Tamandua tetradactyla: one gene and its partners. The protein of the gene in region 1 interacts with the protein of each later gene in a pairwise test. Links are inferred from orthologs where the notes say so. Each region holds a gene or a part of one and is shown in the gene's direction. Other genes may lie near its edges. The genes, in order: KIF2A, LARP1B and FAM13C.

The links.
Region 2: the proteins of KIF2A (region 1) and LARP1B interact in binary tests that used the Homo sapiens proteins (3 or more experiments, as listed by UniProt). The two-hybrid records come from large-scale screens. The link is inferred for Tamandua tetradactyla from reciprocal best matches to the Homo sapiens genes KIF2A and LARP1B.
Region 3: the proteins of KIF2A (region 1) and FAM13C interact in binary tests that used the Homo sapiens proteins (3 or more experiments, as listed by UniProt). The two-hybrid records come from large-scale screens. The link is inferred for Tamandua tetradactyla from reciprocal best matches to the Homo sapiens genes KIF2A and FAM13C.

What each region holds. Positions count from the first base shown.
Region 1 is NC_135335.1:109,443,620-109,451,598, forward strand, and holds the start of KIF2A (kinesin-like protein KIF2A), read left to right. Parts: upstream 1-4,644; 5' UTR 4,645-4,803; coding exon 4,804-4,867; intron 4,868-7,979. UniProt on the Homo sapiens protein: Plus end-directed microtubule-dependent motor required for normal brain development. May regulate microtubule dynamics during axonal growth. Required for normal progression through mitosis. Required for normal congress of chromosomes at the metaphase plate.
Region 2 is NC_135348.1:40,333,241-40,341,036, reverse strand, and holds the start of LARP1B (la-related protein 1B), read left to right. Parts: upstream 1-4,517; 5' UTR 4,518-4,576; intron 4,577-5,217; exon of another isoform or gene 5,218-5,359; intron 5,360-7,796.
Region 3 is NC_135339.1:37,932,157-37,940,099, forward strand, and holds the start of FAM13C (protein FAM13C), read left to right. Parts: upstream 1-4,453; 5' UTR 4,454-4,558; coding exon 4,559-4,620; intron 4,621-7,141; exon of another isoform or gene 7,142-7,279; intron 7,280-7,943.

The sequences.
Region 1 (7,979 bases):
ATAAATTTAGTAGGAATTAAAACTGCTGACTACCAAAAAGCTCTAAAAATGTCCAGTGCAAAAAGTGAACAATAAAGGCTAAAAAAAATTTCTGCCAGCCCCATCCATTTTTCCACTTGATTACAGACCCATGAACTTTGTGGACTTAATTCAGGATAGATCCAAAAATTGAATGGAAAAATTTCAATTTAGAATATATAGACAAGGACAGATAATGAGATAGGGTTGGAGTTAAATTACATCTCTGCTCTTCATTGAGTAGGTTATTGGTTAAATTGAGTGCCAGCCCCAGCCTCAAATCTCATTAGCTTAATGGCCTATTCCCCTGGACTAACTATGTAAGGTTTATGTACTAATGACCCCAAAGGAAAAAGAAATCTGGGCATATAAAGATTGGATGGGTTACAATAAAGTGAATGGTTTATCAATTAAAAATTGATAAAATAAGCCAACAGCAGCCATAGGACATGACCTGATGGAAATGGTCCTTGAACAAGACTATTCTATCAGTGAAGAGTAGGATAGAATAGATTGGGTAAAGATACAGGCAGATTAGTAAAGTTCTTGCTCTCTTCTTGATATGAGGTGATAAGGGTCAGAGGTCAAATTGATAATTGTTAATCAAAAAAAATTTTTTTAATTAATTAAAAAAATTAATTTCAAAGTACATTTTAATAAGTACTTACAAAACAAACTTCAAAGTATGGCATGGGTTACAGTTCTACAATTTCAGATATTTCCTTCTTCCTGCTCTAATATACTGGAAACTGAAAAGAAATATCAATATAAAGATTCAGTAGTCATACTTGTTTGTTAAATCCTATCTGTTCTATTACAACTCCTCCCTCTCATTTGATCCTTCTCTCAATCTTTAGGAATATTTGGGCAATGATCATTCTAATTTCATGTTGAGAAGGGATACTGACATCATGGGGTAGGGGGATGCAAGTGGTTGACGTTCTTGGAGAAACTGGTACCTATGGATTTCAGAGTGTTCTAGTTTGTTAGCTGCCAGGATGCAATATACCAGAAATGGAATGGCTTTCAAAAGGGGGACTTTAGTAAGTTGCTAGTTTACAGTTTAAAGGCCAAGAAAATGTTCCAATTAAAGCTAGTCTATAAAGTGTCCAAATTAAGGCACCAACAAGAGGTTACCTTCACTCAAGAAAGGCCAATGAAGTTCAGGGTTTCTCTCTCAACTGGAAAGTCACATGGAGGTCATGGTGATGTCTGCTAGCTTCCTCTCCAGTCCTCTTGCTTCGTGAAGCTCCTCGGGGGTGTTCTCCTTCATCTCCAAAGGTCACTGGCTGGGGGACTCTGTGGCTCTCTCATCATTCTAAAAAATGACTGTCTCCAAAATGCTTCCTCTTTTAAAGGATTCCAGCAAACTAATCAAGACCCTCGTGGAACGGGTGGAGTCACATCTCCCCCTAATCAAAGGTTAATACCCACAACTGGGTATGTCACATCTCTGTAGAGATAACCTAATCAAGTTTCCAACTTACATTACTGAATAGGAATTAAAAGAGATGGCTATTTCCACAAGATTGATTGGGATCAAAACATGGCTTTTCTAAAGCATATAAATCCTTTCAAACCAGCACACAGGGTTTCTCTGGCATAGGAACAGTTTAGAAGTTTTACGTTTCTGAAAAATAAACTGAGTGAAACTATTATAGAGTCTCACATAGAGCCTTGGGTATTCTTTAGGGTTTTCAGGAATACTGTTTGGTTAGGGCTTGGTATACTATGACAATTTGTAACATCTAGCTAAAGCTTGCATAAGAATAACCTCCAAAAGAGCTTCTCCATTCTATTTGAAATCTCTTAGCCACTGCAACCTTATTTTATTACATTTCTTTCCCCTTTTTTTTGTCAAGAAGGCAATAATTGTTAATTTTATATCACTGGATATAAAATTGTAATAACGATTTGAGGATTGTAGTAGAGTACTGGACTATTTCCTATAGGATGTTGTTCCAGTTTGCCTGGTGCTGGAATGCAACACACCAGAGACGGATTGGCTTTTAATAAAAGAGGATTTATTTTGTTAATTCTTCAGAGGAAAGGCAGTTAACTTTCCACTGAGGTTCTTTCTTACGTGGAAGGCACAGGATGGTCTCTGCTGGTCTTCTCTCCAAGCCCCTGGGTTCCAACAACTTTCCATGGGATGACTTCTTTCTGCATCTCCAAAGGCCTGGGCTGAGCTGTGAGTACTGAGATGAGGAATGTCCAGCTGCTTAGGCTGTGCTACATTGCGTTCTCTCATTTAAGCACCAGCCAATTAAGTTAAATGTCACTCATTGTAGCAGACACGCCTCCTAGCCCACTGCAGATGTAATTAGCAACAAGTACCATTGGCTTATGTCCGCAGCAACAAAACTAGGTATGCTCACCTGGCCAAGTTGACAAATGAATCTAACTAACACGGATGTATTACTTCATTTTTACCTTATATTATACTTAATAAATACCAAAGCATGATCACATTTTACTTTCATTTGACTCTCACAAAAACTTTGACAGAATGGAAGTTATTAATACAGGTTGATCAAAGAGGTAAGTAACTCAGATGTAAGCAGTTTACTAAATTAACTCATTGAGTTCCTACTGTGTGCCAGGCAGTAATCTATTTAGGGTTGTATATCTTGTTAATGTCTGAGCCAGAGTCAGAATTTTTGATCCAGGGTCATTGAGGGAAAGAGGCACATTGCATTCCTTTATGGCTGCTCTTCAGGGGGCCATATATTAAACCCTATTAAACCCATGCAAGTTTTGGTAAATACATGTGCTGCAGCGTACCAAAAACATAAGCTTTTAAGTATGATTATAAAGGAAAGATTTTCATGTTTGTTTACCTTGGGCACATAGCAAATCTCATACATTTTTATGGATGAGGATGATGTATATATTTTTAAATACCTTCATTTATGGTTGAAAGCCTACCCATAGGAAGTAAAGTATGTGTCAGCAACCATGTATAAAGCATAATATTTTATGAAACAATTTTAAGTTTAATAGCTGTACAGCTTGATTACTTTGCATTCTTTAAATAATTTGCAAGCAAATAGATGCTTTATACTTCACTCATATAGACATCAGAGCATGAGTTATACTAGACATGAGCTAAAAAAAAGTTCAGATAAAACCTAACTTAAAAAAAAGTAAAAATGGGACCTTGATTTGATCAAACCCTATTCTGAAAGAGGTCTGAAACGTACCTCTGTTTTCCAAAAATAATGGAATATTTGGAATATATAAGCAAGAATTAGTTTCTTCATGGTCTACTCAGAGTTTATTTTATAGAAAAAAATTTTGCCTATTTTAGAATGGATATGTGACTTTCTTCTTTTGACAAGAATACCTCCAATATGTTCAAGTCCTTAAACAAATTTTCTTAGGATCAACTTGCTTTGATTTATTATTGAAAACTCTAGGTGCACACATACATGCATATATGTACTTGCACACATATAACCAGATCCCAGTTTTTGAATTTTGAAATTATATTTTTAATGGTTATTGCAGGGAGATTAACGAAGATTGGGGAAAAAGTAGGGCAGAAAAAGTGTGTTTTCTTCACAAGTCCCAATACTAGGAGCAAAAGTCATGCTTTTGGAGGATTTTACACGGTGCTATAAACACGGTTTCCATGATCCCGGTTCACATTGCCTTCTTGCTCTTTCAGGATGGAGAGTCTTGCCTTCTATGTTGCTGATGTGGTCAAACTAGTCAAGTGACTCCGCAGAAAAGGATCGTTCCTTAGTCAACCTGATGTGTCTGCCCTCTGTCCTTGAGTCACAGCCGTTGGCTCTGCAGTCCAGGGCCATAAGTCTTGAACCTTGAGCAGAGCCAGGACACCAGCATCTGACGCATCATAAACGGAAGAGTCAAAGTAGCTCCTCTGCAGGGTTTCTTTGTTGAGCAGCGATGAGCTAAGAGGCAAGGCCATGAAAAAAGAGAATATTCATTCCGGGTCTTAGGGTGTGTGGCACTTTATAGGTGTTTCTTTCCATCTTTCAGAACGAGATGGGAAACCTGAGGAGGGCTACTTGGGCTAGCCACCTCCAAGTGGCAAATAGTGATGACACCATCAGATAAATCACCAAGCACGTGCTGTCAATGGCCTGTCGCTAAATTCACATGCCTTAGCCCCGCGCGCCATCCGGAAAGCCCTGAAACTAAGGGCTCTTCATCCATTCTGGCAGCATCGCCAATTCGTGGGAGCCAGAGTAACAGGAAGAGACCCGCGCGCGGGTCCCCGCCTCTTCTAGGCCGCGCGCTGAAATCAAACGCGACGCCGACTCGTGACGGAAACGCCCGTGCACTCCGGTCCTCTGGGGAACTAAGACTCCGCCGCCGCCCGCCAGATCCAGCCCGCCGTCGCGGTACTGGGCGGGGCCGCCTTGAGGCAGCACCGAAAGGGGAGCGGAGGAGGAGGAGATGCCGGAGGCGCGCTCTGCGCAGGCGCGCGGCGCCCCGCCCCCCTCCCCCCGGCGTCTGCTCCCCGGCCGGCGGCGCGGGCCCTCCCACTCTCCCCGCGCCGCCTCACGGCCCGGCCCCGGCCCTCGCTTCACCCCGACGCCCCGGCGTGCGCGTCTTCCCGCCGGCCTGCAGGCCGGGCACCTCCGCCCGCTTCCCCGCCGCTGCTCCTCGCGGCCCCGGATCGCGTTCACGCTGTCGCCCGGGCCGGCGCGGCCGCGGGCAACCGCTCCCCCTCCCACACCTACCCCGCCCCCTCCCCGCCTTTTCCGCCCTCCTGTCCCCCTCCCTCGGCCGGCTGCCGCTGCTCCCGATGAGGTGATGGCAACGGCCAACTTCGGCAAGATCCAGATCGGGATTTACGTGGAGATCAAGCGGAGCGATGGTGAGGCGCGCTGCGGGCCCAGCCGGCCCTGCCCGGCGTTGGGGTTTCCGAGACGCGGACGCGGGCGCGGGCTGCCTCATGGATCGCGGTGCCGGGCGGTGGGGGCAGGCAGGCGCGGGCCGCGGCGCTTTTGTGTGTGGCGAGTGTGCGGGTGTGCGGGTGTGCGGTGAGGACGGCGGTGGGCTCGGCCCCCGGCGGCCGCTGCGGGGTGGGGGTGGGGAGGCTCCCTGAGGAGGGCGTGGGGGCTCGGGGGCCGCGGGTCGGCGCGATGGAGGGTCTCGGGGCAGAGCCAGCAGGCGGCCCCTTGGCTTCTGCGGCCATCTCCATCCTCCCGGCGGTTCCGTCCTGGGAGGGAACGGGCTTGGTTAGGGATGACCGTGCCGCCCGTTTCCCCCTGTCTTTGCGTTTTACCGGCCATACATCTGACGGGGGGTGGCGGGGAGCACTAGGGATTTCAGCTTTTCGGGAACCGACTCCTGGTCCGGAGGCCGAGCTGGGGGGTGGTCAGGACCGTTGGTGGTTGTCAGGCCTCTTCGGCTCTCGTTTCTGGACCATGTTTCTTTTTTTTGTGAGTCTTTTCCTCCGAGAAGAATGTGGAGAAGATCTTGCTCGGCCCCATGACCGGGGTGGGGGAGCAGTGGGAAGGAGAGGGGAGCACACAGTCCCTGCGAGGGTGGGGGTGGGCGACCGGATGTTGATATTTTCACACCCGAGGAGGAGGTAACTGAGAGAAAAGTGGAAGGGAACGTGAAGACACATGCCTTATTTATTTTTTTTTAAAGCCTCAGGCTTACATATCTTTCTGTAGATTCCTCTTGGGGAAAATGTCGTTCATTAGCTTCGAGTGAAGCGTGAGTTGTGCCAGCCAGATTTGAAAATAATGTATATTGTAAGGGAGGAAATACCTGGAGGGAGATAGGTAAATTTTTTTTTTTTTTCAGTTTGAATATTGAAGGGACTACGGGTGTGCATGCAGGGGTGTGCGGTTTCTCTGCCTATCTATACCCATTTTTTAAATTTGTAGTTCATTTATTTTCACTTAGCCTAGTCAGTAGGAGCATTGCTGTCTCAACCACATTCTCTTGGTATCTACCAAGTTTGACCGAGTTATGTGAAGCTAGATTGAATTTTATCTATGTATCAGAAGACTGTGTAGCTAATGATTTTTTTCCTTTATCATGTTCGAGATAATCTGTCTCAGCAACTGGAAGAATCATTGTCCTGTGTGTGAAAAGATAAATTATACCATGTGGAACATTGGCAGTTACTAATAACACTAGTGAGAAAGAGATGTCTGCTTTACTTGGGTTGGCATTTCTTTATATTTTCTCTTGAAACTACTTTCCTGATAACAGTGTTGTTAATGTAATTTCTTAATTAGGTGAATATCAGTTTCCTGTATACTAGCAAAAGTAGGATTTACATATTATGTTTTAAATTTTGGGTGCAATACATTCGTTGACTGTTTACGTTCTTATAAGCCTTTAATTATGACTGTGTGTCAGATGTAAAATCTGTTATCAGAAGAAAGTAGAATTCCTATTACAGTCAAGAGGGTGGTGCATTTTTCAAGGTTTTTTTTTTTTTCTGGGCTGACATTTTTTATTTAGATGTATTGGGCTTGAAGTAATTTTGATTCTTTTGGACTTTTAGGACAGAGGCTTTTAGCTCCTTCCCTACTTCAGCTTATATCAGAAATTCCAAGAAATATGAGACCTTTGTGTTTTTACATATGTGCTAGTAAACTAAAATTATGCTTAAAAAGCAGCTTTCTCATAGTAATTGTAAAGGGTTTACTTACAAGGTATATTATCCTAAGTTATAGCTATGTAATACTGTGCATATTTATGGTGCTCAGATGTGAAATGGAGTTGGTGGAAGACAACAGATAGAGATCTTGTGAAGAAGGGAATGATTATTCCCATTAGATGGTTGTATTTCTCAATAGGAATTGATTTCTTAGAGACGCCTCTCAATTTTTTCCTTTTTCACTTTAAAGAAGCTGTTTCGCTTCCTCCCACTACTTCAGCAGATCAGTATTGGATAAAACATAATGGTTATTGTAACAAAAATAAGCTTTGTAGTTGGATGAGCCCTAATTTAATACTTGAGACAATGGAAATCACATGTGTGAAGAAGGGCTGCTTGAGACTGCTATTAACTGGTGACTAGATGTTTTTCTGCATGCTTGCTGATAATGCTTGTCTCGGTTTCAGACCATGCTTTTTTCATCAGTAGTGCTCATATATTAATAAAACATATTCCAAGGACAAACAGGGAAACCAAGATGGGCTTATTCCTGTCTTTCAAGATTTTGCTCAAAAATTAATCTGAATAAGTCTTAACTGATTCCTAAAACTAGATGGGCATTCTTCCCTTGGATTTTCTAAGTCACTCTGTATCTCTCACGAGACAGCATTTTCTTAAGTATTAATATTTGGGCACCGTTCTCTTAATATTATATTTTCAGACTGTACTAAAGGAAGAGATGGTATGGAGAATGCAATAGAGGGATGGTAGGTAATCCTACAAAGTGCCAAGGTATTTATTATAGCATTAAGATACTTACCTGAATTCGCTTTTGTATCTCCTTTGTGCCTAGCAGAGTTCCTTGAATATTTTAACTTTTTATTTGGAAATAGTAAATATAGGACAGTTGCAAAAATAATACAAACCTCATGTAGAGAACTTGAACATATTGCCAAGGCCCTCCGCATACCCAGATCTGTCAGTTTTAACATTTTGCTGCTCTAGTCATATCATTCTGTCTATCCATCTATATCTTCTGAACATTTGAGAACAAGTTGCACACATTATAATCCTAGAACATAATACTCCCATATTCATATCCATGACCTAGAATATTCACTTATGTAATCAACTTTAGTCCAGTTATCGAGTTAGCGAGTTTACATTCTATATTCCAACTTTTTCTTATGTCCCAATAATGTTCTTTTGAGCATTTTTTCCTCCATTGTTAGATCCTGTCCAGTAGTACATACGTATTACATTTAATTGTCATTATCTCTTTAGTTTATGTTTTCTTTTAATTGTGGAAACATACTTCATAAATCTTCCCATCCCAGTTCCTTCCAAGCATACCATTCAGTGG
Region 2 (7,796 bases), on another chromosome or scaffold:
TATATATATATGTAATATATATATGTTATATATATATATATATTATATATATATATATACATAGAGAGAAATGGAATAGAGCACATCAGAACGTATTACGATGGGATAGAGCACATCAGAACGTATTATGTATAGTAAGGATAAGTACTGTTGTATAAAACTTTGGGTTCAATAATATATAGCAAGTCATGAAGTGTGAAAGCCACTGTGCTAGTATCTACTTCTCTGTGTAAGTTCCCTGCAGGCAGGAGTCGTAGGGACTGGCTACAGCCTTGCCCAGTTACCAACACACAGCCCTCTCTATTATTAATGAAATATGTAAGAAACGAATAAAAAGTTTCCCTCAGTTTTTCTACAAAGCTTATTATTTTTTTCTTTTTTTAAAATTTTATGAAAGTTTATTTTTTGATGTCAGCTACTGAAGTTCATATGAACTTGAATTTAAAGACCTCAATTTTGTCATACCAGTTTTCATAAGACAATGCTAATATTACATATAACTGGATAGCAGGAAGAATTAGAAAAGGTTACTGTCTTCCTCTCCTACTCTTATTTAAAAATCCAGGTTCTTTGAAGAGAGAAAAAGCCATGTTTCTTTGACCTTACAGTATATTATTCCAGTACTTTTTTAAAAGATTAAATGTTATTATCATTGTGCTATTACAAGTTTTAGTACAGCAAAGGTTAAACAGTGTGGCAGAAAAGGAAGACTTGAGTCTCAGTACCTAACCCTGCTATACTGGCTGAGTTCCTTCTATAAAACTGATCTATTAGAACCTACCTAAAAGTAAAGAGCTCTACACAATTCCCTACTTACGAGGGGTTTAGGAGAGAAATCAGGTGGGCAGACAGCCTAGAATTGAAGCTAGGTTTACATAGGAAGCAAAGTGTTTTACATTTTTGTTTGTATGCTACAGGTCAGTAAAACAAATGAACAAACAAAAATTTCTAAAAGTGCATTTATTCCCACTTTATATAAAATTGAATGTCAGTTGTACTTTCGAATTATAGTTATTGTATTCAACAGGGGGCGGGGTCAAATGGAAATTATGGGGGGAGGGTTTCAGACTTGCATTAGCACTAACCCTGCTTTGAAGGTTAGAAATAATAGTATTTAGTATTTATCTGAACATTTAGTACAAAATAGAAGCTATTATTATGAGAAACAGGGCCCAAGGCTCTGAATCTTGGGAGCAAAGACAGTCAGTATATCTTTAGAAAAAAAATCCAAAGCTCTCCTTAAAACTTACTTTTTATAGGAAGTTATAAATTCCTGGGTTCAGTTTTATTTTCTTGTTAGACTGTAGGTCTCTGAAACAGATTATATCTAATGCATTCTTTGAAACTTCTCTAGCATCCAATACAACTATTTGCACATTGGATTTTTTACAAGCCTGAAAATAAATCTCTGGTATTGGTAATAAAAAGCAGTACGTTGTTCGCAAGGGACTTCAATTTCCTTGAGACACCTGGGGAGGGAGAAGGGCGGGTTTATTCATCTCATGATTCATTAACATACTCTAAACAGGAAAAACAGGATTAATATTTTAAAGGCTCACTTGAACAATGTGATCAAGTTTGTATAAGGAGAGTGTTTCATAACCTCTGAGGGCCTAGAGAACCATTCTTCTTCCTTCGAAAAGATAAATCTATACCTGCGCTCTAGATTCAAGTTCTCTTTTACGACAACAGCAGCAACAACAACAAAAGCCAAAAAACAAAGCAGGCTTTTAACCTCAGTAGTTCTGTAAAATGAAGTTGTCTTATGCTGGCTAAATCTATGGATTTAAAAGCAATAAAAATAGCTAGCACTAAGCTAATGACTGTGGTAAGCATTTTACACATATTATCTCATGTAATCCTCACAACTTTATCAAACAGGCCTAAACGGAGAAAGGCCGAGTCCTAGGCATCGCTCGCTTTTCAGCTTTATGTGTGGTGCCATTCACTAAGATAGGGAAAAATAAAATAAAATGTAATTAAGGTCACTGTCACAGATACCTATAGGAAACTAGCACTCCTCCGCATCCCAATGAGTTATGGCTGTGTTTTGAACCAAATAACCTGTTCCTCTAGGCCCGGAGAGTAAACTACCCAAGGGCAGATAATCCAGAGATTGGCTAATGATTTGCCTAATCTGCCTTGAAAGAAACAAAAGTGAGCCAATCAGTCTTTCTTCCTTGAATGTGAATTGAGCAGCAGAGAAAGAATCTGGCAGTAAGCAGCCGAGGTAGAATGAGGTTAGAGAATGGAGGTTCAGCAATGGCAAATGGGTAGCAAAAAAGAGGAAAACTCAAACTGGGTTATTTGAGGAGAGTTAATAAAGGACCATTTACAGAGGTGTGGGCAAGAGTCAGGGAAACCAACAGAGATAAGGTAACAAGATAAGGATGGTGGTTATTACTCCGAGGCCTGGGGAGCAAAGGGAAATTGGAGATTAATAAAGTGGGCACTGCAGTCAACCCAGGACCCAGCTGGGGCAATGAAGACTATGACCTTACTCTCCTCTGGCTTCCAATCTCCCGCTGAACTCTTCCTCTACTGAACCCATCCTCATACCACGGAAGGTGAGGAAGTCCTTTAGGGATCTGCAAGGTCAGGCCTCCCTGGCACAAGAGCAGAAGGGTGGAGAGAAATACACAGGGCAAACAGAAGACAGGTGAAGTTGTTTGCAAGAGGCTGTTATGTGGAAGCAGGCGTTATTAGGATGCATTTTAAAGAGGACCAACTAGTAGCAGACTCGGTAGTGTAGCTGATTGATGTTAGTAGCACTGCACTACAGTGAAGAAACCTAGAGTTCTCTAGAACTCTTTTGAGTTTACAATCACCCTCCAGATCTTCTCTCCTTGCAACTAAAACCTGTTTCCAAGAAAGTTCCCCTGAAGGAGTTTTTCCTTCAGTAAAGCTCCTTTACTTGAGAAGGCCCCTGTATGATTTTCTTTTTAATTCATTGTGGTAATATGTACAACATAGCATTTGCCATTCTAACCCACCGTCAAGTATATACTTCAGTAGTTTTAATTTCCACTGTTGTGCTGACATCGCCACGATCGATGACATGTATGACGTCTCACCTAAAAACAACAAAGAAAAGAACCAAGCATGGTTACAAGGCCCATACAAAATCAAGCTTTGGAAAACCATTCCACAGAGCCCTTTTCTCAAACGAATGAGGGTTAAATCCACATGTATTTAAACGGACGGTAAATTACAACGTGTTCTCTGAGTCACAGCGAAAGTGAATCTGTCGATAGGCTATCTTAAGAGAGGCAAGCATTAACTGGCAGGACTCCAGAGGTTTGATTCTAGCAGGAAAAGCAGCTAGATGGTAGTTAAAAATAAAGCTTCGCAGAGCTGGCAAAGACGGCGGTCTCTCTGCGAATACATGTGGACGGACAATCCCTATTTAATAGGAAACAGGTTCCCCAGGTTGGTTAGGGACAGGAGATTACTGAAAACAAGAAAAGCCTTATAGCTGTTGTAATGTATGGATTATTTACTGGTTTTAGGAAAACAAGTAGCTTTTCCCTAGTGCAGTTTATGAGTAAATTAAAAATTAATCTCGAGTTTAATTTAGTTAGAGCATGATCGATGGGAAGGGTGTCATGTACTAATTACATGCCTGCCTTGACCATTCTAAGGGAAATCGGGGAGGACTGGGGGACTGGGGGCCTGGGGCAAGGGGTGGGGGGCGAGCCCTCAGCCACAAAAATATCTTTGCGCCCGGCCCGGCCCCGGCCCCGGACTCACAAACACGCGCACATGAAATCAGTTTGATTACTACTTGATTCTGAGCAAGTAAAAAGCTCTTATCGGAACTTTTTTCAAAACATATTTGTACTATTTTTGCATACCCATTCCAGGAAAAAAAATTTGGAGTAGTTAATTGGTAACCATGGGTTATCTCCTCAAATTAAAAACGCCGGCGAAATATTAACTATTGGTTTTACTCAAGCGCACTTAACAAAAAAAAAAAACACCTCTGCATTCGTGGGTGGGCAACGGGGCGGGGAAGGGCACTAAAACAAGTGTCCGGGCAAAGGTTTCAAGTCACCCACGCGCAGCACCGCTTTCTTTTCTGCCTTGCCTCAGGGTTATCGGCGGCCGCCGCGCCCGAAGCGCCAGGGGAACTTCCGCGGGGCACTGCCCGGCGACGGCAGGCCGGCTCGGTCGGCACCGCCGAGGCGTCGCCCGGGGTGGGCAGCGGGCCGCCCCGCCTCTGCCCGGCTCCGCCTGGGGAACCCCGGGCCGCCGCGGCCTGGCCACGTGCGCGGCCAGACGCGAGCCCCAAGGCCCGGGACGCACCCCGCCGCCCGCCCGCACCCCGCGGCGGTCTCTGGGACGCTCCTCCCGCCCCTCGGCGGGCCGCGGGGCTGTCAGTCAGCGGCCGCGGGCGGCGGCCGGGCGAGGCCACGTCACGCTCCCGCCGGGAAGCCCCGCCCCCGTCCGTCCTCCCGGGTCGCGCTCTTCCACGCCCCGCGCGCGGTTACCGGCTTCGGCGGCGCGCGCCCCTGTCGCCCGGCCTGAGGTGCTCGTCCCGGCCGGCTCGCCGCGCCTCAGCCGCCGCCCGCGCTAGGTGAGGGCTCGCGGCTCCCCGCTGCGGTGCCCGGCGCGCGTCGGCGGCCTCGGGGCTCACGCCGCCCAGGCGGGCCGCGCCGGCGGGCGGTTAGCGCTCCGTTCGCGGCGGGGAGGGGCGGCGCGCCGGGCGCTGCACGGCCTCGGGCGACGCGGGCGAGGGTGGCGGCGGCGACGGCGGCCGGGCTGTCGGGTTCTCTGCCTCAGGCCGGAGCCGGCCGGTATCGCGTCAGAGACACGGGCAGCCGGGCTCCTTGGCCCCGGGCGCTCCCGGGCTGCGGCGGCTGGGGAAAGGGGACGATGTCTTACCGCGCCCCGATGCCCACCGCGCACCCTCGGGAGGAGCCGCCCGTGAGGGCCGCTGAGAGGGACTCGCTGTCGGCCTCGGCGAGCCGGCCGCCGGAGCAGACGCTCCCGGCCGACCGAGAGGGCCAGGAGGCGGCCGGCAGCGCAGGGGCGCGGGGAGAGCCGTCGCCGGCGCCTGTGCTGGGACACAGCGTGCCCCAGGCGGCCGTGCCCGTGCGGCCCCTGGCACTGCACCTGGCGCACAAGGCACGCGGGCCCGGCCGCCCCTCCAGCGGGGAGCCGCCGCCGCCCCTGCCCCGGCCACCGCGGGACTCGCCGGCGGAGGACGCCCGGGAGGAGGCGGCGGCGGCGAGCCCCGAGAAGCTGCAGGCGCTCCCGCCGCCGCCTAAGGAAAACCCCTGGACCAGAAAGCCTCCCCAGCACCTGTCCCCCGCCGGGTTCGGGCCGCTGCCGCCCGCGCTGGACACCCAGGAGGCAGGTCTGTGGCTCCCCTGGGGGGGCACGGGCAGGGGGCTGGGGGAGGGGCAGGCCTCCTTGGCCGGTCTGTGGAGGGATTTGGTTCCAAGGTGTCATTCGTAGTGCATATTTACATAAATGGACATCTCGGAGGGAGCTGCTGGTAGAGGTGGGACCCGAGGTTCTTCTCGGCTGGCGGGGTACGGAGGGGGTCAAGCGGGCGCGTGGCCCGCCTGGCGCGGCCTGGGGTGTGTTTGCTTCCCACGTGCGCGTGGCTTGGGAAAGGAGCTAACTTTAGGAAGACGCTGCAGTTCATCTAGGGAAAAGTTTGTGCGGACTTTGTAAAAAGGCAGAACCGAGTCGGAGCAAGCGAATCTATTCGTCGGTGGAACCGCAGTTGTCACCTTATTGTGGAATACTGAAGAGCTGAAAAAGCCCAATGTTTTCGACGCGCTGAGTAGCCATATTAAAAGGGGGGATACTGCAGCTCCTGTTAAAAAGCTTTGAGTTGTGGATATGGTGGAAAAATTGCAGTTAGGTTAGTTGACGTGAGAGTGGATTGCACGTTAGGTGAATGGTGGTTTTCTAACAGCTCTCTTAAATGGTGGTTTTCTAACAGCTCTCTTAAATAGTGAAAATGAGATTATGCCCCTTCATTTGGAGTGCTGATCAATGCAATATGGCCCGAGGCTCTTCATTTTGGTTCTAGCAACTACGGTTTTATTGAGTTAAAATGGGAAAAACTAAGACCAGAGTTTTGGTTTGTTTTATAACTTAGCTTGCAATAAACTAATTGAATTTTTATGTAGAAATTGCAACTACTTATTGCGAGCCTTCTTCAAGTTAAAGACTAACAGTGGGATGGAAAAAAAATAAGCGTGTTTACAGAGTTGTGGGGATCAAATGAAATAAAAGATACGGTATGTTCTTAAGAGGAACTTCTTGAGTTAATTGAGTTTTTTTATCTTTTCCGCAGAAATCCTACTGGTCATTAATTCTTGATAATTCTTGAGACACTTGAAGAAAAAAGTACTTAAAATTTGTGCCTAATGTAATACTGCCATATTCTCTCCTAACTGCAGAGATTTGTTAATTCCTGTCCCTCACTGAAGAGAACACTCTTAAGGAAGATCTCCAAAAAAATTTAGTTGGAAGGAAAGCCCTAGTAATTCATCTTATTGGCTGTTTCTCACCTTCCTGTTATATCTAGATTTAAACATAATTATCTATTATATTCTGTGACCTACCGAAGATTGAATGCCTTGTGTTGATTGTAAAGTCAATTTGACAGATTTGAAACTAGAGATTTTAAGTGGATACGACTTTGTTAAAAATATTCTTTCAGCCTTGTGTGATTAATTTTACCTGTACTTCTTTGGTGGTCTGCGGTAGGGATTAAGAACAATGTGATGCCTGAAGGTGGTGTGGTTCTGTAGGAGTGTTGATTTTGCTGATGTTTGCCTGTAGGCAATTCTTTGTGTCTTTGGAAGTCTAATTTGCTCCTGCAGGAATATCGTTCTGCAGGCCTGGAGGGCTGTAGCTTTATAGTCTCTCCAAGCTGACTTTTCTGCCTGGACAAATTTGCAGTTGAATAACTTAGATAACTCAGATAAGAGATTGTGGTGTAAATATGCATTGTTCTGAGAGATTTGGTAGTCCAAAGTATTTCTTCCTAACTAGCTAGTTGACTTCTGACAAGCCTTCTGGGCCTCGAATGAAAGTGGGTGGACTCCACTTCCATACCAGAGTGGCATCTAAAATTATAACATGGGCACCTTTGGCTTCCGATTTTCCTAAGCAAACTTGCAGCTTTCAGAACTAATGAAATGGGAACAGAGGTCCTTTAGGTTCTGAGTAGGTGTAAAGCAGGAAGTGTCCAATTTGTACAGTAACCTATTAGTAGCATGTCCATATAAATTATCCTAAAACTAGGATACTCTAGAGAGGGATAGGGGGCACTATTCATTATACTCTGATAACAAATTTAAGCCAGTACTGTTCTGGCCAAATTGCATGTTTTTACTCTTAGGGTAAAGTAAAGGAATTCCACCCACAAAATTTTGTCAGGAAGTTTATTACCAGAGGTAGAAATAATACAGGAAACACGGGGATCTATTTCAGGGTATAAATCATGAATAATCTCTATTTTAGAACCTGCATAAATAAGCAAGACAGATTCTTGCTTCTTCAGTCCTTGTGAAAAGATTTTCTTCTACTTTTAGGGTGATTGCACTGGCGGTTGTATTGCTGTCTTTGCTGATCCAGATAAGACCACTTTGGTCTTCCCTTTAGCCAAAGTGTGGCCCACCCAAGAGGCCTGCCATGGTGTCTGCTGTCCTAATTCAGGCAGGGGACCAAAAAGGACTTCCTCCATCTGTATGCTAATCTTGTTTAGTTTTATTTATTTTGGAAACCCTTTATTAGAATCATGGGCATGGGATTTTATTACCCGTTGCCAT
Region 3 (7,943 bases), on another chromosome or scaffold:
GAGTCCAATATGCATTGGATAATTATAATACACATTTTTTCAAAAATTTACTTTTGACTATGTAACTCTTTTCTGTTTCTTTTCCTGGACCATATGGGAATCTATAATTCCACCAAGGATACTTTGAGAAACGCCATTCTAGAAGTTATGTCTACAAAAAGAGAAATGTTAGTTTTTCTGCTTCTCGTTTTGAACTGTCCTTGAACTGAGTTTAGTCAAACTGAGGATCTCCAAAATAATCAGATGTTGTATGAATTATAGGGAAGGTTAGTATAAGACTGTTAGGTTAGGTTTGTAATTGGTTAGCATCCTACAGTATGATAAGACTACAGACTTTGAAGTTATCTTTTCTTCTGGACAGACTGGACAAAATTTGCAAGTTATCATCAGTATTGACCTATTCTTAATTGAATAGTGTAGCATATATAAGCTAATGAATGACAAGCCAGTATAGACCATTTCTAAGCCTGATTTAAGATGAAAAGAAATAATGCTGTAAGAACTAGTTTAGAAATACAGATTATAAGTTTTACACTGCCAAATTACAAGTTGGTTGGTTTGTTTCTGGGGCACTTGTGTTTTTAACCATAATCAACTATATCTATAAATTGTTTTGATTATGAGTATTACTTAAAACTTAATTTTGTTCCATATTATTCTTGAGTTGATAAGAATTCTTACTTCTTCTCTGTGGACATTTATTGGATACCTGAATTTATTGAATTCAATTGTTATTTCATGTTATTTTCAAAGGATCCTCATTACAGTGAGAAAAGTCTGACCTTTCTCTGCAGTAGAGTATTTGTAGTCAGTATCATAGCCAATTAGTGAAAGGGGTTTTGGAAAACTGGCAACCTTTGAAGCAGTAGAATCGAGAAGGCTGAGTGTAGACATATTCTTATCAGTCTCAATAAAATAGAAAGAACCTCAATTTATAATAATTTTATTTATTATATAAAGTTATTTATAATTCACTTATAAATAATGAAGACAAATTTATAGTGAAGAGGTCGTTTCTTAGCACTCTTGAACCCAGCTTATATGAGATAGTGGGTGGTTTTGGAGCATGTATGTATACACACACACACACACACACACACACACACACACACACCTTATATTTAAACATCTGAGGGTCGGATACCTCTAAGCTTATGTGAGTCCATGAAGTTCTAGTCTAAGACCATATTAGGCTTTTATTCAAAAGCTTTTAAAAATATTCGGAGAAAGGAAAGTAAAATTGCAAAGGACCTTAATGAAACCTGTTTTTCTTTGAACACCCAATTTGGGTTTGTCAAAGTATAATTTTAAAAAGATAAAAACATGAGTCTTGTAATACTTGGAAATATCCTAGAGTATATTAAGCAGATAATCAAAAAGTATTGGCAAAGTCCCCTCAGGGAAGGGAGAAAGAGTATGAAACTATTAAACCTTACCATCAGGGAATCCCCTGATACTGTGTCAAACTTTAGGGACACCCAGATCAATAGGCCATGTCCTCAATCATGAGGCTTACTCTTGTGAAGCTTATGTAGGTACTGGAGAAGCTTAGATTACCTATAGGCATGCCTAAGAGTTACTTCTGGAGGACCTCTGTTGTTGCTCAGATGTGGCTCAGTCTCTCTAAACCCAGCTCTGCAAGTGAAATCATTGCCCTCCCCCTGACGTGGAACATGACATCCAGGGGTGATGGTCTCCCTGGCGATGTGGGAGATGACTCCCAGGGAAGAATCCAAGTCTGGCACAGTGGGATCAACTATTCCATCCTGACCAAATGGGGGAAAAGAAGTGTAATTAATAAAGTATCAGTGGTAGAGAGAGTTCAAATAGAACCAAGAGGCTACTCTGGAGGTTACTCTTATGCAAGCTTCAGGTTACCTATCATAACCTGCCAACCCCCAACCAGGACCATTCCAGCCAATCCTAAAGAACACCTAGGACAATATATAAGATTCCACAAGGGTTCCATGTACTCGAGTAACTTTCCAGAAACCTACAACCTCCAGATGGGTCTCTACTCTAGATAAGTTCTGAAACCTAGAGGAGAGAGCCTCTCCAGAACATCAGATAGTTCCATCTCCCTACCCCATATTAGTGCCAGACCCTTCCAATATGAAAATTTAGAATTGCCATAGCCCAAGCACCCCTAAAGAGAGGGACTGAAAGATCAAAGGTGATGGTGGAGTTACACATAGAAGATAGGATTTAACAAATGAATATGAATGCTGAATCATTAAATTGATATCTCTTTTAGTCTCCAATATTTTAGAGCAGCTAGAAGTAAAAGCCTAAAATTGAAATTGTAACCTATGTCAATGTCTGAAATATGTTCTACAACTAATTGTGGTGCTGTGCTTTGAAATTTATAGCTTTTTGGTATATATATTTATTTTTCACAAAAAAAGGAAAAAAATGTCGATTGTGATAAAAAAAAGTATTTACGCCCTTTAGCCTCCTATATTCTGGAGCAGCTAGAAGGAAAAATATGAGAGGATCGTATGGTAGCCCATGACAAACTCTGGGCTCTGGTCTGTAACCACTCGTTTAAGAGTGCTTTGAAAATTATTGCTTTTTAATTTTTTTGCTTTGTATATATGGTATACCATACAATAAAAAAAAAGTTAAAAAAAATGAGCCAAAAGCATAAGAGAACAATGAATATGCCAATCAACTGTATTGTTGAAAGCCTGACTATTAAGTTAATGAGAGACAGTGAATTTCCATGATGGAATTTGTGGTGGGCTGGCATTCTGATGCTATATGTATAGTTGTCTCTGGGTGTCACTCCACTAGGGGGGTGTTGATACTGAATAACCTCTAGATTTAGAAGTTATCAGTGCTGCTTGTTCCTGCTCTGTTATAACAGCTTATATGTATGAATAAAAAAATAAAGAAATAAAATGCCATAAAAAATCATGACTCTCATAAAAATGTAGGTCAGGTGTCAAAGATCTATTAACTCATTAATGAGGAAACCTGTAAGGTTGTCAAGCTGGCTCTAAAAGAGCACTTTTGAGGATCTGAGTAGTTATAGGCATTTTAAAAGAAGGTTATTATAACATTGTTAGGTTCGATTCAAAATTGGTTAGCATCCTACAGTGCAACAAAACAACAGACTTTGAAGTTATCTTTTCTTCCGGACAGACTGGACAAAATTTGTAAGTTAACATGTAACTTCACAGTGTCTGAGATTTAATCACTAGTGAATAAAATGAAACACAAGTACGTTCTCCTAGAGAATTAACAAATACTTGAATACATCTATTAAACAGTGCTTAGTTTCATGACACTGAAAGGTCATACTTCTCCCCTTATTTCCAGGTTTTGGGTAATTTTTCTAATTATCCCAAAATAAAAATTTATGGGTGTTTTTGGTGATGAATTAACTCACTGATACAACTAGTTTAGATTAAAAACCACCATCTCAGCTGATTTTGGGAGAAGAGAGATTAAAAAAGGAGGGAAGGGAAGAAGAGGAGTAGGCTGTTTTTAATTCAAAACTTAAAATAAGCATCTGGCACAGATGAGCACTCCTTCCATACCAAGGCCAACGTGGCAAGAAAAATGACCAGGAAAAGAGGGCAGGACAACCATTCTCGGGGGAATGAAGGGAGTGGGGGCTGATAACCTTCCCCTCCCCCAACAAAGCTGCCTTTATTCAAAGGAGGAACTTTCGTTGGTTTGATTTCTCCATCCATTGTAAAGGTGCCTGTGGATAGAACTCAGGTGACTTGCTCCTGGGAGAAGCAAGTCCCACCCCTTGCACGGGTCCTAGTCACCTGCTAGTGCCTGGAAAAAATTTCTCCACGCGCCCTACGTGGGCTCATTCACAGCTCTGTGGTCCGTTGCCGGGGCGCTTCCTTTTAGGAACTGAAATAGCTGTGCAGACAGATCGAGTGTGATGCAGAGAGCCCTCTTTCAGAGCTCTTCTTTTCCTTGGCAATAAAAAAAAAAACAGTACACAATAAAACAATTAGAAAAAAAAAAACCCACGAAAGCAATGTCCCTCTCCCCCTTCTCGTCCCCTCCCTGCTTTTCTTGACGATGAATCTCTGTGAGCCTCCGACCCTAGGTAGAGCAGCTCAGTAAAATTGGTAGGAGACGTCTGGAAGAAGGCAAGTCTCCTGGGTCTCTCAGCACCTGGACAAAAAAAAAAAAAAAAAAAAAAAAAAGCAGTCGGGCACTCCTATTCCCAAGCCTCAGAGTGGCTGGCAGCAGAAAGGCCTGAATTAAACCCAGCGCCTGGGCTCGCGAGGCCGGGGTCGCGCGGGAACTCCAGGTGCTCCTCCTGGGGGCCCGGGGGTCCCGTGGTGCTTGTCCCGCCACGCGAGCTCCCCGGCTCGCTTCCCACCGCCTCGCGGGCTGCCGGGCTTTGCGGTTCGCCGGTGCGGCTGGGCCCCTGCTGGGGGTGTCGTTGCGAGCATGTGCAGACAGCAGCCCAAGGTAGAGCGAGCGCGCCGGGCAAGCCCTGAGACTTGCTTTGCAATGCCATGTTTGTGTATGTGCTCTAACTCCCCGAGAGCAATCAGGGAGACGGCTCCCCCGCCGGACTTAGCTGATGTTTTCTTGTTTCTGTTTCAGCCTTCAGGATAATTCCTTCGGCAGCACCGCTGTGACAGAGTAAGTGATTCTTGGCATTAAAATAAGACTTGCATGCTTTTCTCTGGAAGCAGCTACTATCTTGAAGGTACGGTCCCCAACTGCTCGTCGTATTAGATGCATTGTCTCTCTGTAATCTGGAGCTGAGAAGATCGCGAGACGTGCTGACTGATGGGGCCCAGAAATCTTAATAGGTTAAAATCAGCCTTTTAACAGCTGCGAGAGAGATATTAAAATCAGCTGAATGCATGCGGGAGCTAAATGCTCCAAAATATGTGTTCTTGGAGCTAACATTTAAAAAAATCTATTTGACATGTTAGAAAGGAAGCTTTGTTATATTTTGCCAACATCGGTGTCAGGTTTCATGGAGTGCACACTGTATACATTAACAAATAGGAGATGGATGTGAAATTACTTGAACTGAATGCAGGCATGTGATAAACAGGCTAAACTTATCTTCACCATCTCTTGTCTCCAGATTTTTAAGACTACAGCAGAGTAAACTTTTCTTGTATGTCCTTTGTCTTTTTTGTTTTCTGATCTAAAGACCCGAATATAGGGATAATGACTAATCTGACCCTACAGTAAAAGCTATTGATTAGGGCAACTAGCACCGTTTAAGCCTGGGATGAAGGAGTGTAATGTTCTACAAAATACCAGCAGGCGCAGTATTATTTTTATTGAATATTTATAGCTCATTGCTAATTCTCATAATTGCTTCCTTAATATATTTTATTGCATTTACTATAATATACATTAAAATTAATATGTAGTGTGTTTTACTAATAGTGCATGTAGTTTATATATAGTTTATATATGTGTATATGTATGTATGTGATGTATATACTACATCTAGCAATCTGTCTCTAGACTAACTCAGGATGTTTACTTCTGGGACCTTTTTGTAGAAGTCACTCTAAACAGCTTTTCAGGAAAAGGGCATATATAGGTTTGTATACTCAGCTACATTTAAGAACAAAATAAATGCTGCATTTAACACAGAAAGCCCAAATAGGTTGGAAGCTGTTTGTTTAAGTTCTTTGGAAGACTAATAAATAGAATTTGAATGTCAAGTCCTATCACTGCCACTTGGGGATGGAAGGCCAAAATCCTACAGTGCTTCCCAGTCCTTCTAGTTCCCCACATTCTTTTGTTTCTCTGTTTGGATGTGCTGTTCTCTTAGTGTTCAGCTTTGAGCTCATTGGAATGGAATCAATTTTTAAAAAACAGTATTGACTTTAGAAGATGCAATGCAAAATACTCATTTGGGCCTGCATCCTATTAATGATATTGCTTGGTAACCTGTGCTGCAACTTTGGTTTTTTAAAAGTCTGAGAAAGGAAGAGGGATGCGTGCCAAGGAAGGCAGGCAACGAAAGCCGAGGCCTTCCTGGTTCAGGTGCACAGGTGCTGCCCTCATGCCTTTGCTGGGCTTATAGGCACCAAATACTTCCTGGGCCTGATTCTCGAGAGCCCTGTGTGGCCAAATTCCCCCACTCAGCCCCTATGTAGGCATAGCACCCTCAAAATGGAGACGCTTAGTTCCAGATTTTACATGGCAATATTGTTTTTCTTAAAAGTTTTGCAGTTAAATGCTGGGAAGGTCTGGTACCTTGTCTTTGGACACACCCCAAGGAGTTCTGATTGCATAAGATCATGTTGTTACTTTCAGAAAAGTGACAGTGATTTATTTTAAAATGCACTGAGTGACAATTGGAATGCCATCTGGCTAATTTACAAAACCTAAAGTGCATATTTAAAACATAACAAAAGCTTCATGTGTGCTACCAAACACAGACCAGGGTCATTTTAAAACTAGCTTTTGACTCATATAACAGTTTCTCCTTCCTACTTTCCTCCGCTACACGAACATTTTTTTCTTCGATCCCTGAACTTGACCAGCTGGGCCAGGGTGCACAATACTGAGACATAAGCATAGCAGGTGCTCAGTAAATATTCCGGTAAGGTCTTCACATAGGCAGAGCAGATACCTTCCTCTCTTATATTTTGGATACCAAGAAAACATCCTCTTTCTCCTGCCTCCAACCCCAACCCTAAAATTCAGGCATTTATTTTCTTTAGTGCCTGAGATTCCACCTAGAGATGATTTCTTTTGGATTAAGGCCTCTGGTGGTGAACCCTTATTAAAATGGAAATTTAAAAATATGTGCTCCTGGGAGGGGGATCCAAGTTGTCATTAATACTTTAATATGAATTACTCTATCAGTTATTCCCTGCTAGGCAGGGGTCTTAAAAGACTCCTAGGGAAGTGGAATTGGGAGGGATTCTAGGACAGATTTTATTCACTTCTAGATTTCTCCAGGCCTGGCACTGTCTGTGCAGCTCTGCACCAGTTCCATTTCTTTTTCTACCCAATTCTTCCGAGATTGGAATGGCCTTGCCTTTTCCTTCTGTGTCCACTTTTATCCATTACTTTTCCATAGTCATTTCAGATGTTGCTCTGGCTAACCTGCAATTTGAAATGAAGCCTAGAATGCAGTGAATTCTGATTGGTTACCCTCTGTTTCAGCGGTTCTCATACCCAACTCATCGTCATACTCAACAGGGGAGAAGGGACTTGTGGAGAATTCAGTTTCCAGGCTTTCTCCTAAAGTGGGAACTCAGATAGGAGATTGTGTTGGAGTCAGCCAAGCCCTGGACTGGCTTTTGGAAACTTTTAGGTCAGTATTAAACTTTTTAGAAACATACTCATTATGTGGGAAGAGGGGCTGCCTGGTTTAAAAAGTTAAGTTCCTGGGCCCCACCCTCAGAGAGTTGATCTAGTAGGGGTGGGGCTAGGGATGCCGTGCAGGCAGTGCTAATGCAGATGGTTCTAGGGTCACATTTGGAGAACGCCATGATGCTTCGGGCTGAACAGAAGTCCCATTCTCGTGCTGAAGAACTACATTCTTCTGATAAGCTGTCCGAGGCCTCTCTTTTTATTTGTTCTAAGTTGGAAAAGGGAACCTCCCAGGGTGCTTCTTTCACCATCATTATTCTAAGAAATCAGTAGTCCTCTCTCAGTTTATTAAGCCCCGTACTATGAGCCCTGGGGGAAATAGATGAGGAGAATAGTTGGTTCCCGCTTTTCTGGACTCAATGTGATGGAGCAGAAATGACCCCGACAGTTGGAATCCAGGACGATTCCTTCCTTGTGTGAAGGTGGTTCCTACCTCAAAATATTGTCAGGCTTAAACGAGATAATATGAGAAAGAAGGTGAGCTGTGAAGCACCATATAATTTTTCGTTGTTGTGGGGTGATAAAGGGACTAAAAGTCAGAATATAGATGAAAGTACCATCTTTGAGCATTTCACAGAGAAATGAATGCAAGGCCTGGGCAAGCA